Linked DNA regions of Oryzias latipes. The protein of the gene in region 3 interacts with the protein of the main gene of each other region in a biochemical or structural test. Links are inferred from orthologs where the notes say so. Each region holds a gene or a part of one and is shown on either strand. Other genes may lie near its edges. The genes, in order: mapk8ip2, gadd45b and map2k7.

Region 1 (4,091 bases), on a different chromosome or scaffold from region 3:
GCGACTCAACCCTGTCTTCTGCCTCCTCTCCCCTAACACCGACTACCTTCATGTTTTTGTTCACTGTATCGAAAGAAAAATAAATACTTGGGTAACATTTTGTAAAAGCTTCAGTAAGTAGACGCATGGTTTTCATAAGGATGCATTTTAGCGATGAGAATCCACTTCACTGTGATATCATCTTTAGAAGACATTTAATGCTTTTTGTACTGACTCATTAACCGGATCATATCCCCAGACTTTTGAAACTCCTTCCATCTCCAGGAAAGCTCAGGCATATACTGTAAACAGATGAGTCATGCTTTCGGGCTCATAGCCCCCCACTCTTGTCTGTGATGATCCTGCCACGTTTGATCTACAGGGGGCTGTGAGGCACGAATCTGTTGCAGATGATTTCATCTAGATTCATCTGGATTTGGATTAATGAAGTCATGAGGTAAAACCCCAGAGCTGCAGTTGAACTGAAACCTCTCGGAGTTGTTGATCAAACCAAATGCGTTGAAATGTTTCTTTCCAATAAGGCCAACATTTGATAGAAAAACATCTACAGCTACAGAGACAAACAACCAGAAAGAGAGAAAAATGACTAAAAACTGGAGAGCTAAGGCAGCAGAAATGAATCTGTATTGACTTAAGCCTCTTACCCCCTACCATACCCACCACCACTCCCATCCCCCTTTCTGCTTTCTCCAACTGACTTCAAAGTGTTGGGAGGCAAAAGTAGAACACTGATGTTTAAGCCTGCAATGATGGGAGGATCAGACAGTCGCATTAAGCAAAATCAGTTTCTTTTAAATGTCCTGTTAAAAGGTTTTAACTATGACACATGTAAAAATGCAGGTGCTTGTTGTGCAGAAAAGGGGTTCAATCCATCTGCAAGTCCACACCAAAGTGTAAGTGAGATATTCAGTTTGTGTGACAGAACAGTGTTGTGTTACTAAGGGTTCGGAACAGGCATGAGTAGTAAATGCAGGGTGTGTTGTTTATGGTTCCGCTGGGGTGGGATCAAATCCAATCACTTTGGAGAGAATCCAACGTGATAGTAATGAAATTTGTATTTTTAGCCCTATTTATCTATGCAGAGTCTATATGGAGTCCAAAATAAGCCAAAAACTTTTCTTCACACAAAAACGTGAACAAATCTAAACGAAGAAAAAATGGTGTCTTGGCACTGGTGACTTTTGACATAATTATAAAAAGAAAAAGACCTCCAAAACAATAGGATTCAAGCACAAATACTGACCTGGCCCTCATAAAATAAGATTCATTCCTTCTGCATTTGGAGTGCACTTATACTTATTACCAAAAGGATTTCAATTTTATTTTGGAAACGGTTGATGTTTTCTGTTTTTTTCCCTAAAAGTTCACTGCCACATTTGCAATGTTCTTGGAGTGGAGTTGGAGTTGGACTGGAGCGAGAATAGCCTTTAAAGAGTTCTTTATATTTTCATATTAAGGAATGGACAGCATGAAATGAAAAGTGACCCAATTTGATGTAAATGTTTTGCAGTAGGGCGAAATTTTCAATATAGATATTTTGGAATGCTTTCATTTCTACCACCTAATGGGTTAACAACAGTTCTGTGTCAACAATAGTCTGATGAAGAAGCCATGACATAATGGATTGATGCTCCTAATCATATTTTCTTCACCCATAATTTGGATTTTGTGGTGTTTCATAGGATGTTGGTGACTGAAAATAAATTAGAAAGACTTGAAGAGCATTAGAAACAACAACAACAAAATTACATTTTGGCCACAAAAAAAGCATGAGACTGATCCACAATGTTTTTAAAACACAAAGAAACTTGGCTTGTGGTTTCTTGTTGGAAATATAATCTGCTGTTGGCGAGTGGAGGGTCTTAGTTATGAGGTCACTGGCTTAAAAAAAATCAAATCAATCCCTAATGAACCATCTATGAGACTGTTGACCTCACATCCAAACTGGGCATAGCAAATCCAGATCAAGCACTGGGATAATGCTACCATGGCTGTTTCTGGACCATGAGCAGCACACATGCCGACATTCAGTCCATTCGTTTGTGAAATGCAAAAGAAAATTACAATTACCTTTTTCCTGATGGCTGTTTACTTTTCTTTGTGCAGCATCCTTTCCATACGTTGAAGTATTTAAAGATGGCACAGCCATAAAACTGCCACTATCATAGTTTAATGTGGCTGGAAACAAAGTTGAAGTTTCTCAACACAGCAAAAGCTGTTTCAAGTCATCTGCTATTTTGCGTCTGGTTACGGACAGATCTAAATGTTTGGCTTAAAAAAGGTCAGAGTTCTTCCTAGGGGCTTCACGAACATCAGTGGGACTTCCTGCATCTTTGTTCGGTACTCTTTCTTGGGTTGGACTCATCAGGGCGTGGGCCTCGCACAGAGAATGCGCAAAGGGGAGAATGTCGCGAGCTTTCAAAATATCTGTCATAGAAAATGGGCTGCTTGTTTTTCCTTGTAACAGTTTACGGAGGAGGTGACTTTAAAAAAAAAGAAGAAAACTAAGAAAAGATCGTGATTGATGCGCTGATCTGCACCCTGATGCGCGCAGTCAGGCACCCACAGGCCTGTGGTGATCCCAAATACCCAGGCTGGGAGCGCGCGTTTGTTTTTCATGTTGCGCATCGCGCCCGTGCGGATTCACTTATATTCTGAGCATCTTTTCCCGCTCTATTAGTGATTTTTTTAAAGGCCAGCTCTTACCTGCATCCCGGAGGAGAGAGGGAATGAAAAGTGGACAGCGAAAACATCTCAGCTCTGTCCGCCATCTTCTACCACCAATGACTCAAAGCGACTGCAGAAAATCAGGATGGAGCGCAGTCCATTAACAATCACAAGGCCAGAGAATGGACGGCGGTTTGTCTGCTCTGCAGCCCCCGCAAATGCCTGCCTGGGCGCAAGCCTTCAATCAGACGCGGCTGCTCAACACCCCAACGCATCTGCAGTCAACCATCCGCACGAACAGGCTGCGGGGATGAAGCAGGGGCTGCAGAGCCGGCGGCGGGAAGATAAAAAAAAAAAGCCGCGTTCCTAATGTAAGTCCACGCGAGGCATGAAGGTTTCCTGCCCACAGTCCGCGCGATTCGCCCGTTGAATGTCCGTGATGCTGGCTGGTGGTAACACAACAGCAGCGGGCCAGCAGTGCGGAGACAGGGAGAGGCGAAGAGGAGGAGGGGGTTGGGGGGAGCGACGTAACGTCAGTGTCGTTGCTGTGTGAGCAATCAGTGCTGAGAGGATGCAGGCAGAAACACTGGCGTAGATCCCCACAACATGCAGCACATGTCCTTGAGAGGAGGACGACCAGCGCAGGGATTGATTGAGCCAGTATAACGATGGCATTCAAATGTGTCTCTTAACGAAAAGAATAAAGATATTTAATTCTAGAAGTCGATGTAATTTTTGATGGTTTACCCTAAACATTGTGGGCTGCTTGGTAGAATGGAAACGAAGCAATGAGGGACGCAGAGTGTCGCTGTTCACCACCTGTGGTACTGAAACTGAGCGAGATCTTGAAATGCTGTTCAACAGCCGTACCACACGGGGTCACTATAAGGAGACAACTATGAATACTTATCTCTGTATAATAGGGGTGTTACGAATAATTTTAAAGATTCAATTCATATCATAATTTCTAGCTCCCGATACAATTCATTGAAAATATTGTTTTATTTTCAACAATCCGATTTGTTCCAATTGACTGGCCTAAAATAAATCCAGGACATCTTTAGACAAAAATGTAACCAGTGTGACTCAGACATAAACACCTGGATACTGAACAGTGCAGGGGAAGTTTTCCAGATTCCTTGTATTTTAATCAAGGAATCTGGGAATCAAGTTTGAATTAAATGTGTACAAACAAACAAGTAAACAAGAATGAATGGCAAATCTATTCACATTTTAGTTTGCTAAAGTTCCACCCACTGTTGTTTTTCCACATCAACACAATAAAAACGAAACATTATAAGAAGATTCTACCACACTGTTTTGTCGCATGTATTTGCTAAATTCAGTGTTTCCACACATTGGACTGCAATGGTTACTTGATCAGTTTTCCTTGCCATCCTGTGTGTTGCCCAGTGATGGTTGTT
Region 2 (3,400 bases), on a different chromosome or scaffold from region 3:
TCCTACATGTTTTCTAACGTATTTTTATCATGTAGGGTCAAACTCAAGATGGAAGCAGAGATCAAATAACTCATTGATCTGCACCTTGTCCAGAAAAAACACGAGTTTTGCAAAAAGGTTTAAAAATATGAGGCTAAACCTAAAAAAGAAATCTGACTGAAAAAAATGCAGGATTTTTAGAAAGAAAGACTTGTCAATTGAGATTTTCTGTCCAATTGGTTACATTTTTGCCTTTTTTGATTCTAAGTCAACCTTTTTCTCCCTTAGACTACAGTAAAGTACAGTAGTGCACTCAGATTCTGGCTGTGACAAGCAGCTTTGATACTCTCAGCTTCTATCAACCTATTTTGTTTTAGACACAAATGTCAATATGTAAATAAATCCACAACGGTTTTTTTCTTTCTTTTTAAACACTAATAAAGCCATTAGCTACTTTTTTTAAACACCTGAAGTCATCCTTCTGGGTAAAGGGCCCCACTTTGCACCTGTAAGTCTCAACAATGACTAAACTATAAATGTAGTAACCTCTAAGTAATCTAGTAGAAAAACTTCTATATAATGTCTTCTCAGAGACTGCTCTGGGTCTAGAGAAGCAGAAAGTGACATCATACTCTTCACAAAAGGAAAAAAAAGGCAGAAATCACTGTTTGTTCAATGCATAATTTATTTAAATAAATGAGATTCAACATGTAGGTCCATTTTTTTCATATATTAATCTGTGCACTTAAATAACAGAAGGTTTCGTGCGTAAACAGGTGAGCAAGACACCTGGCTCTGTCCATTGCAGCTCCTCGTTCATGCATCGGTTCAGTCACGTGACGCCTCCGCTGTCGTCACCTCGTTTAAGAAAAAAAAAAAAAACTTGCAACGCTCCCTGACCCGGAGCCTCCAATCGCGCTCCTGGCGCGGCGGTTCAGCACCGACGCCATCATCCCACGCGCTCCCGTGATTCCGTCTAAAAGGCGGACTGAGGCTCGTCGAGCTCCCTTGGGGAGGAGAGTCGTGCTCCCCCTCTTCACCACGAGGGTCTTGGCTGTTCTCAGCTTCTTCTCACCGCTCCTCGGGCGGTAGGCAAAAGGCAAAAATGGAAAGGTTCAGTTGCGCTCAGCGGTCCTTCAGCTCCAAGCAGGGAACCCACAGGTTCCTGCAGCGGCTCTCTGCGCAGAAGCTGCTGACGTCCTGCAGAGCTTGACACTGGAGCGGCTGCACGGGGGGGTTCTGCAAACAGATGAAAGGGGGGGGGGTCATTTTCATGCTTCAACACGGTCCTGTGGATGCACTGAAAGTGGTGCGTTAAGTGAAGGAGAAACTTACAGTGACCAAGATGCAGTGCAAGTCCCGGGGCTCGTTCCCGTTGCTGTTCTCGGTGTCCTCCCCCAGCAGCTGCGCCAGGCGCCTCATGCCGGACACCCGGAGGATGTTGATGTCGTTATCGCAGCAGAAAGCCTGCAGCAGCGTGAAGTGGATCTGCAGCGCGATGTCGTCCGCGTCCTCCTCGTCGGTGGCGAGAAGACACAGAACCACACTGTCTGGATCTCTGCAGGAGCAAACAGAAGAAAGCCGGGTTAGCGCGCGCCTTTTGGAGCCATTTCAGACGCGTCTCGTGGAGAAGAAGAACTTACACATTCATGAGTTTGGCGGACTCGTAGACTCCCACTGTGAGGCAGTCCTGCCTCTGAGCCGCGACCAGCAACTCCTCCAGAGCCTGACTCACCGTCTCCATCCTGCAGAAAACAAGGAGGCGGTTAGAAACCGGGGCGCGCACTGCGTAACGCATCTCAAACAACACCGCTAAACTGCAACTAACGGAGAATTAGGGCAAAGACAGCTTTTCAGACACTTACTTTTTGTCGGTACTGCTGGATCCAACAACCTCCTCAAGAGTCATGCTGAAGTCAGTAAAATAATCCACAAGCTCCAGGATAAAAAACAGAATCCCCAGCGATGCTGAGACGCGTTTAGATCCAAAGGTAGAGTCCCGGCAAAACAAATGTAATCCAGATAGGTTTTTGATCGTTGTTCCGTCCGTGATTGAGTTCTTAGTCCGTGTTCTTAGTCTGTGTGAAGGTTTCTGTCCTCTTACAGTCGAAACTGTCCGCTTTTATAGGCGGATCGGCGCTTCTTGACGCGCCCAGACGCTTGCTCTCGCTGATTGGTTTCGCCGCAGATGGGGAGCGCAGCGATTGGTTGGGCGGGCGTCAACTGCCGGTGCTCCCACGTGGGTGGTTTCGGAGAATCCCCCGCTCTCAGCCCTCCTCCTCGTCGTATGTCTCCGTTCTCTCCACTAAGCGTGTTTACTGGGAGCTTTCGATCTGAGTGGAGGAATTTCCAGATCTTCCTGCTTCCTCTCACCAGAAACTTAGGGGGCTACAAAAAACAAAACTGCACAACCACCCAACGGTGCAGCACCTGCCTGAGGAAAGTCTCGAATTGGAATCAGATGATTTTCTTTTTTGTTTGAAAGCTTAGGACCATGGCAGGTGACTGCCCCGTGTCAGAGCACGAGCCCCAGCTTGTGTAACGGCAGCCCGGCGCTGCAAGTTGTGCAAGAGTGTTTTTTTTAACGCATACCAAATAACAGTAAAAGATCATGCTTTTTAATATTAGCAGAAGTGAAAAGTGTGGTTTTGATTTTTGCAAGTTCATTCTGCTTCTTAATACTCGCTCCTTACCGCCCCCCCCCCCTTAACCATTATCCCATTAATCTCCTTTCACCATGCAACTGCAATATGCAGAACCATCCAGAAAAACAGTCAAAAATAATAAATCAAACTGACTGCAGACTGTGCGTAAACTTACACTCAAGTGTTTCAGCAAGCTTGCATCACTCATGAGCTCCAGGTTTCATCAGAGCTTCCTGCCCCAACACACAGCTCTCGATCGCCCCCTAGCGGGGGAAAAGGAAATCTTGCAGGAAAAAAGTTTCTGCAAAACCAGTCTGGTTGCAGGAAGAAAGGGGAGGGGGGGGGATTCCTGGTGCTCCTCAGGGACTTGAAGGGGGCTTCTTACGTGGGAAATTTGCGCGAACTCGCAGGTTGTTTTATTTTTATTATTTTTTTAGGTGGCCTTTTAGGGAATTTCTGATTTGAGGTCCAGGATATAAAGCTTATCAAAAAGAAAAAAAGTGGGTTTCATTTCAGAGCGATAAGCATCTAAAACTATTTCAAAGACGTTGTTAACTGAATTAAACACAAATGACTGGAGATGCCCCTTAAAAACATAAATCTGGAAGACTGAAAACGAAAATAACTGCACAGGTTTATTGAGTGAACAAACTTCATGCACAAGGAGTCAGTTTTTACTTAAAATATTGTGATTTATAGTAATTTTCTTTAATATTTCAACATTAGTTCTTAAACATTTCCAGCCAAAGTGTTTTTCTTATCTTTAAATCTTCTAT
Region 3 (3,651 bases):
CAAACCGAGAAAAATGAAGATTATGGTGTAGATTTACAAAGATTCCTTCTGTATAGAATCAAAACAAAAATAACTACATTTTTAAAAAGATATTCATCTTAATGGAAAATCCTATTTTTAAAAATTAGACTAGAAAATGTGTTTCTAGAAAAAATAAATCATGAAGACAAAGAAAAAAAACCAAACACGTTCTAGCAAACTCAACATAAATTACAAAAACGAGATATTCTGTAAATGGGACATAAAAATTATATTTATATATGTATAGACTCTTACAGTACAAACTACTTATTTGTCTCTTTTTACTGTAATAATCAATCACTGTATTTTAGAGTTAAATGTGTAGATAATTTTCTTTTAAAAGCAAAATATTTTGGAAATAATCTCTAACATAACTGAAAACCAAGTGTGAGGTCATAGAAAAGGGTTTTTTTCCAGTTCCAACCGAATAAAATCAACTCAGTGGCCATAAAAATGGACATAAATCCATGTTTTCAATTCTCTAAGATCAATGAAGAGAAGGACTACAGCCGCTGTTCTCAGATTGTTTTCATCTTTAGAGCCACAGTCTGAAACTGGAGCTTGATGGAGGAAACAAAAAACCCAACACTACACAGAGCTTGAGATTATCAGACACGAAAATAAACATCCCAAGGATGCAGACATTTTTCTGAGACGTTTCTTCACACGGACAGAAGTCTGAACTTTCATCGAGGACAAACCGGGACTTTTCCAGTTTTTATCAACATGGTTTCCTTTATGTTTAGTTTAGGGATTTATTCGTTTTGGGATCGTTTTCTCGTTGTGTTTTTGTTTTAGCTGCTTGTAGGAAATAAATCAAAGCTAAACAGCAGGAAAAAAATGAAAATTCTCCTCATGAACATCAACAAAAATAAAAATTTCACAGCGAGAAGTGAACAAAAGTGAATATATTCACGACCATAAAGAAGTAACTTGCACAACCTTTAGAACAATAGCCCAAAAAACAATTATATATTTATATTCTTAAAAGATTATCTTTATATGCCAGAAATCCGTCCTCAATGTCTCACCTGACCGTCAATCTTCAGGTAACCCGTTTGCTTCATGATCTCCTGTAATTTCTGGTCAATTTCAGCACTAAACAGACAGAAGAAGGAAAAATACAGATGTCATTGAAAGCAACGCAAAGTCAGATCCTTAAAAGAAAATCAAAGAGGCTGAGGTTTAGTTTGAGACGCGTTACAAACCAAAGGGTGACTTTTTAGAATGAGAGGAAGTTTGAGAAGTTCAACCACAAACCTCCTTTAGAAACACCCCCCCCATGTTTTGACAAGAGAAGCTTCTCTGCGTTGGTTTTGGATAAATATTAGGGGAAGTAAAAAAAAGTAAATCAATCTTCAATTAAATGATATCTGGATAGCTCCAACATAAATATGCATTCATCAAATTGATGGATCAATTATCCTTTCTAACAATATTCTAATGTTTTTTAAGTGGTAAAAAAAAGTTTTTAAATCTAAGAATTCTTTAGTTCAATTATGAAAGTTTGACTTTTGTCCAGAATTTGTGAGAAAAAAAAAAATTCTAAATAAGATTTTGGAATTAATATTTTTCAAATTAATCTATACGGAAAAAAAAAAAATATATTTCTTTACAGATGGCTTATATGTAAATCCTTAACGTTTCTTTACATTAGATCTCACCCACCACCCCCCTTTTATACGAGTAATCACAGACAATCTTCCAGATCCCACTCTGCTGCAGTTTTCCGGCTCCAGCTTACTTTTCCAGACTCTTCTGCAGGCCGTAGGGAGGCGTGGGCAGGGTGAGCATGTGTCGGGGGCGGCTGGGGTACGGGTGGTGCTGGGGCGAGCTCTCTGAAGAGGACGAGCGGCTGCCGCCATCGTTGGCCAGGGGCAGCTGCAGGGCTGGGTTGGAGCGAGAGACGGTGGCGTTAAAAGAAAGCGGACTGCAGGTGGAGGTACGCTCCCCACACCCAGCAGCTCGTTCAGTGCTTTGAGGACCAGTCAGGACTTACAGCCCTCACGTCTGAGTCTTTGGTTTCAACACGCTTTGTTCCTTAAAAAATAAAAACATTTCCCTACAAATAACCAGCTAAACATTTGTGATTAAGATGAACCATAACTCTCATCAAATCGGCGAGCCGACTGATCGATTTGTTGTCCCTCTCCTTCTGTTGAGCTAAAGTCCATGTAGCATAAAGGAGCCTGAACCTCTTTAGGTATGTAGAATTAAAGGGCATAAGTGTTTTCTAAACCAGTGGTCCCCAAACCCCGGGCCGCGGACCGGTACCAGTCTGTGGGACAGTGGGTGGCGGGCTGCAAAGGAAAAAAGGACGACCTACGTGGAAGTTTTATTTTGGAAAACTCCTGAATCCTCTCCACCATTTCCGACTCGTTCCTGACGCACGCCGAGTCGCTCGGACACGCGTCGAAAATCCATTTGACACCTTCATAAAGCGGCTGCTACGAGCGCTAAACTGAAACCCCCGGGCTGGGAGAGTCAACACAACATAAATATAATAGGAAAGTTTCTTGTGGCTGAAATAATCCAGCGAGGAAACAGAAAGAAAGCTGTATCGACCAGACAAAAGCCAGGAGGCTTTACTCCAAATATGAATTAATTCTGACAGTTGTTTCCACAGACCATAATAATAATAATGCAGAATACTCAGCACCTGGCAGCTAATGTTGCGATGCTGCTGCTGCTAATAAAGTTGTTCAGTCGATTCAAGTTTATTATTAGATTTAGAAAATACCAGCTGTAGTGACCCTTTTTCCCCTAAAAGTCGGACGAGGCTGAAGTTGGCGTCTGATTTTTAGCTTCAACTTTGAAGAGAAAATCTTCTTCACATTTTAATGGTTCCTACAGGAAATCTAGTGAACGATTAAGTTTAAAGCAGCTGCAGAAATTTAACAGAGGACGAAGACAAACTTTACCCTCAAAAGTTAAGAAACGGAAGGCCCATTTCAGCCTCATATAGGCCCGGCCGTGAAATGTTTGTCTGACATTAACACTGGTCTGTGGCCTGAAAAAGGTTGGGGACCACTGCTATAGATCTTCTAGAGTCCTAAAGAGGCTGCAAACGCTACACCTAAAGATGGCTCCAGCACCGCTGGACGACGGCACAACTCCGCCCAGAACAGCTACTCTGACCTTTGCTTTCAGCTAAATTACCTAAAAAACTACTGTTTTAGCCAAACGTATCTTCTTTTTTTATCTCGTTTGAATTTTTTGGTACGTCCACATCGAAGAAGCAAAAGCCTTCTGCCGTGTAAGGACTTCCTATCCCGTTAAAGCCATGCAGGCAGGCTGAGCTTCTTAAAATACACATTAAGCCTCAACGGGAAGTCATCTACAGTTCATCGATCAATGGTTACCCCCATAGCAGCCACACAAACACAAATAATGATCATGTCCAGTGGAATCTGTGTTTACACCCTTCAGTGACGCGGTCTCACTGCATACTAGAGGTATGACTAGACTAAATGTCTGCTAGCAGTCACTTCCTGCTGCTCAGAGTTTTTCTGCACGAGTGAGATAGGGCTCTGCCAGGAGCACCAGTGTTTGGGTCCAGGAGCGGCCCGGACGGGTCGGCCTGTTCGGGGAAAATGGTTGGTGAAAGGAAGCGGGGGGGGTTAGTGTGAC

The links.
Region 1: the proteins of map2k7 (region 3) and mapk8ip2 form a complex in vitro, tested with the Homo sapiens proteins (2 studies listed by BioGRID). The link is inferred for Oryzias latipes from reciprocal best matches to the Homo sapiens genes MAP2K7 and MAPK8IP2.
Region 2: the proteins of map2k7 (region 3) and gadd45b form a complex in vitro, tested with the Homo sapiens proteins (2 studies listed by BioGRID and IntAct). The link is inferred for Oryzias latipes from reciprocal best matches to the Homo sapiens genes MAP2K7 and GADD45B.

What each region holds. Positions count from the first base shown.
Region 1 is NC_019864.2:20,580,521-20,584,611, forward strand, and holds the start of mapk8ip2 (C-Jun-amino-terminal kinase-interacting protein 2), read right to left. Parts: upstream 2,887-4,091; 5' UTR 2,772-2,886; coding exon 2,707-2,771; intron 1-2,706. UniProt on the Homo sapiens protein: The JNK-interacting protein (JIP) group of scaffold proteins selectively mediates JNK signaling by aggregating specific components of the MAPK cascade to form a functional JNK signaling module.
Region 2 is NC_019862.2:22,490,545-22,493,944, forward strand, and holds gadd45b (growth arrest and DNA damage-inducible protein GADD45 beta), read right to left. Parts: upstream 2,093-3,400; 5' UTR 1,889-2,092; coding exon 1,845-1,888; intron 1,725-1,844; coding exon 1,623-1,724; intron 1,538-1,622; coding exon 1,315-1,537; intron 1,219-1,314; coding exon 1,105-1,218; 3' UTR 641-1,104; downstream 1-640.
Region 3 is NC_019859.2:2,782,345-2,785,995, reverse strand, and holds part of map2k7 (dual specificity mitogen-activated protein kinase kinase 7), read right to left. Parts: intron 1,911-3,651; coding exon 1,766-1,910; intron 1,120-1,765; coding exon 1,053-1,119; intron 1-1,052. UniProt on the Homo sapiens protein: Dual specificity protein kinase which acts as an essential component of the MAP kinase signal transduction pathway. Essential component of the stress-activated protein kinase/c-Jun N-terminal kinase (SAP/JNK) signaling pathway.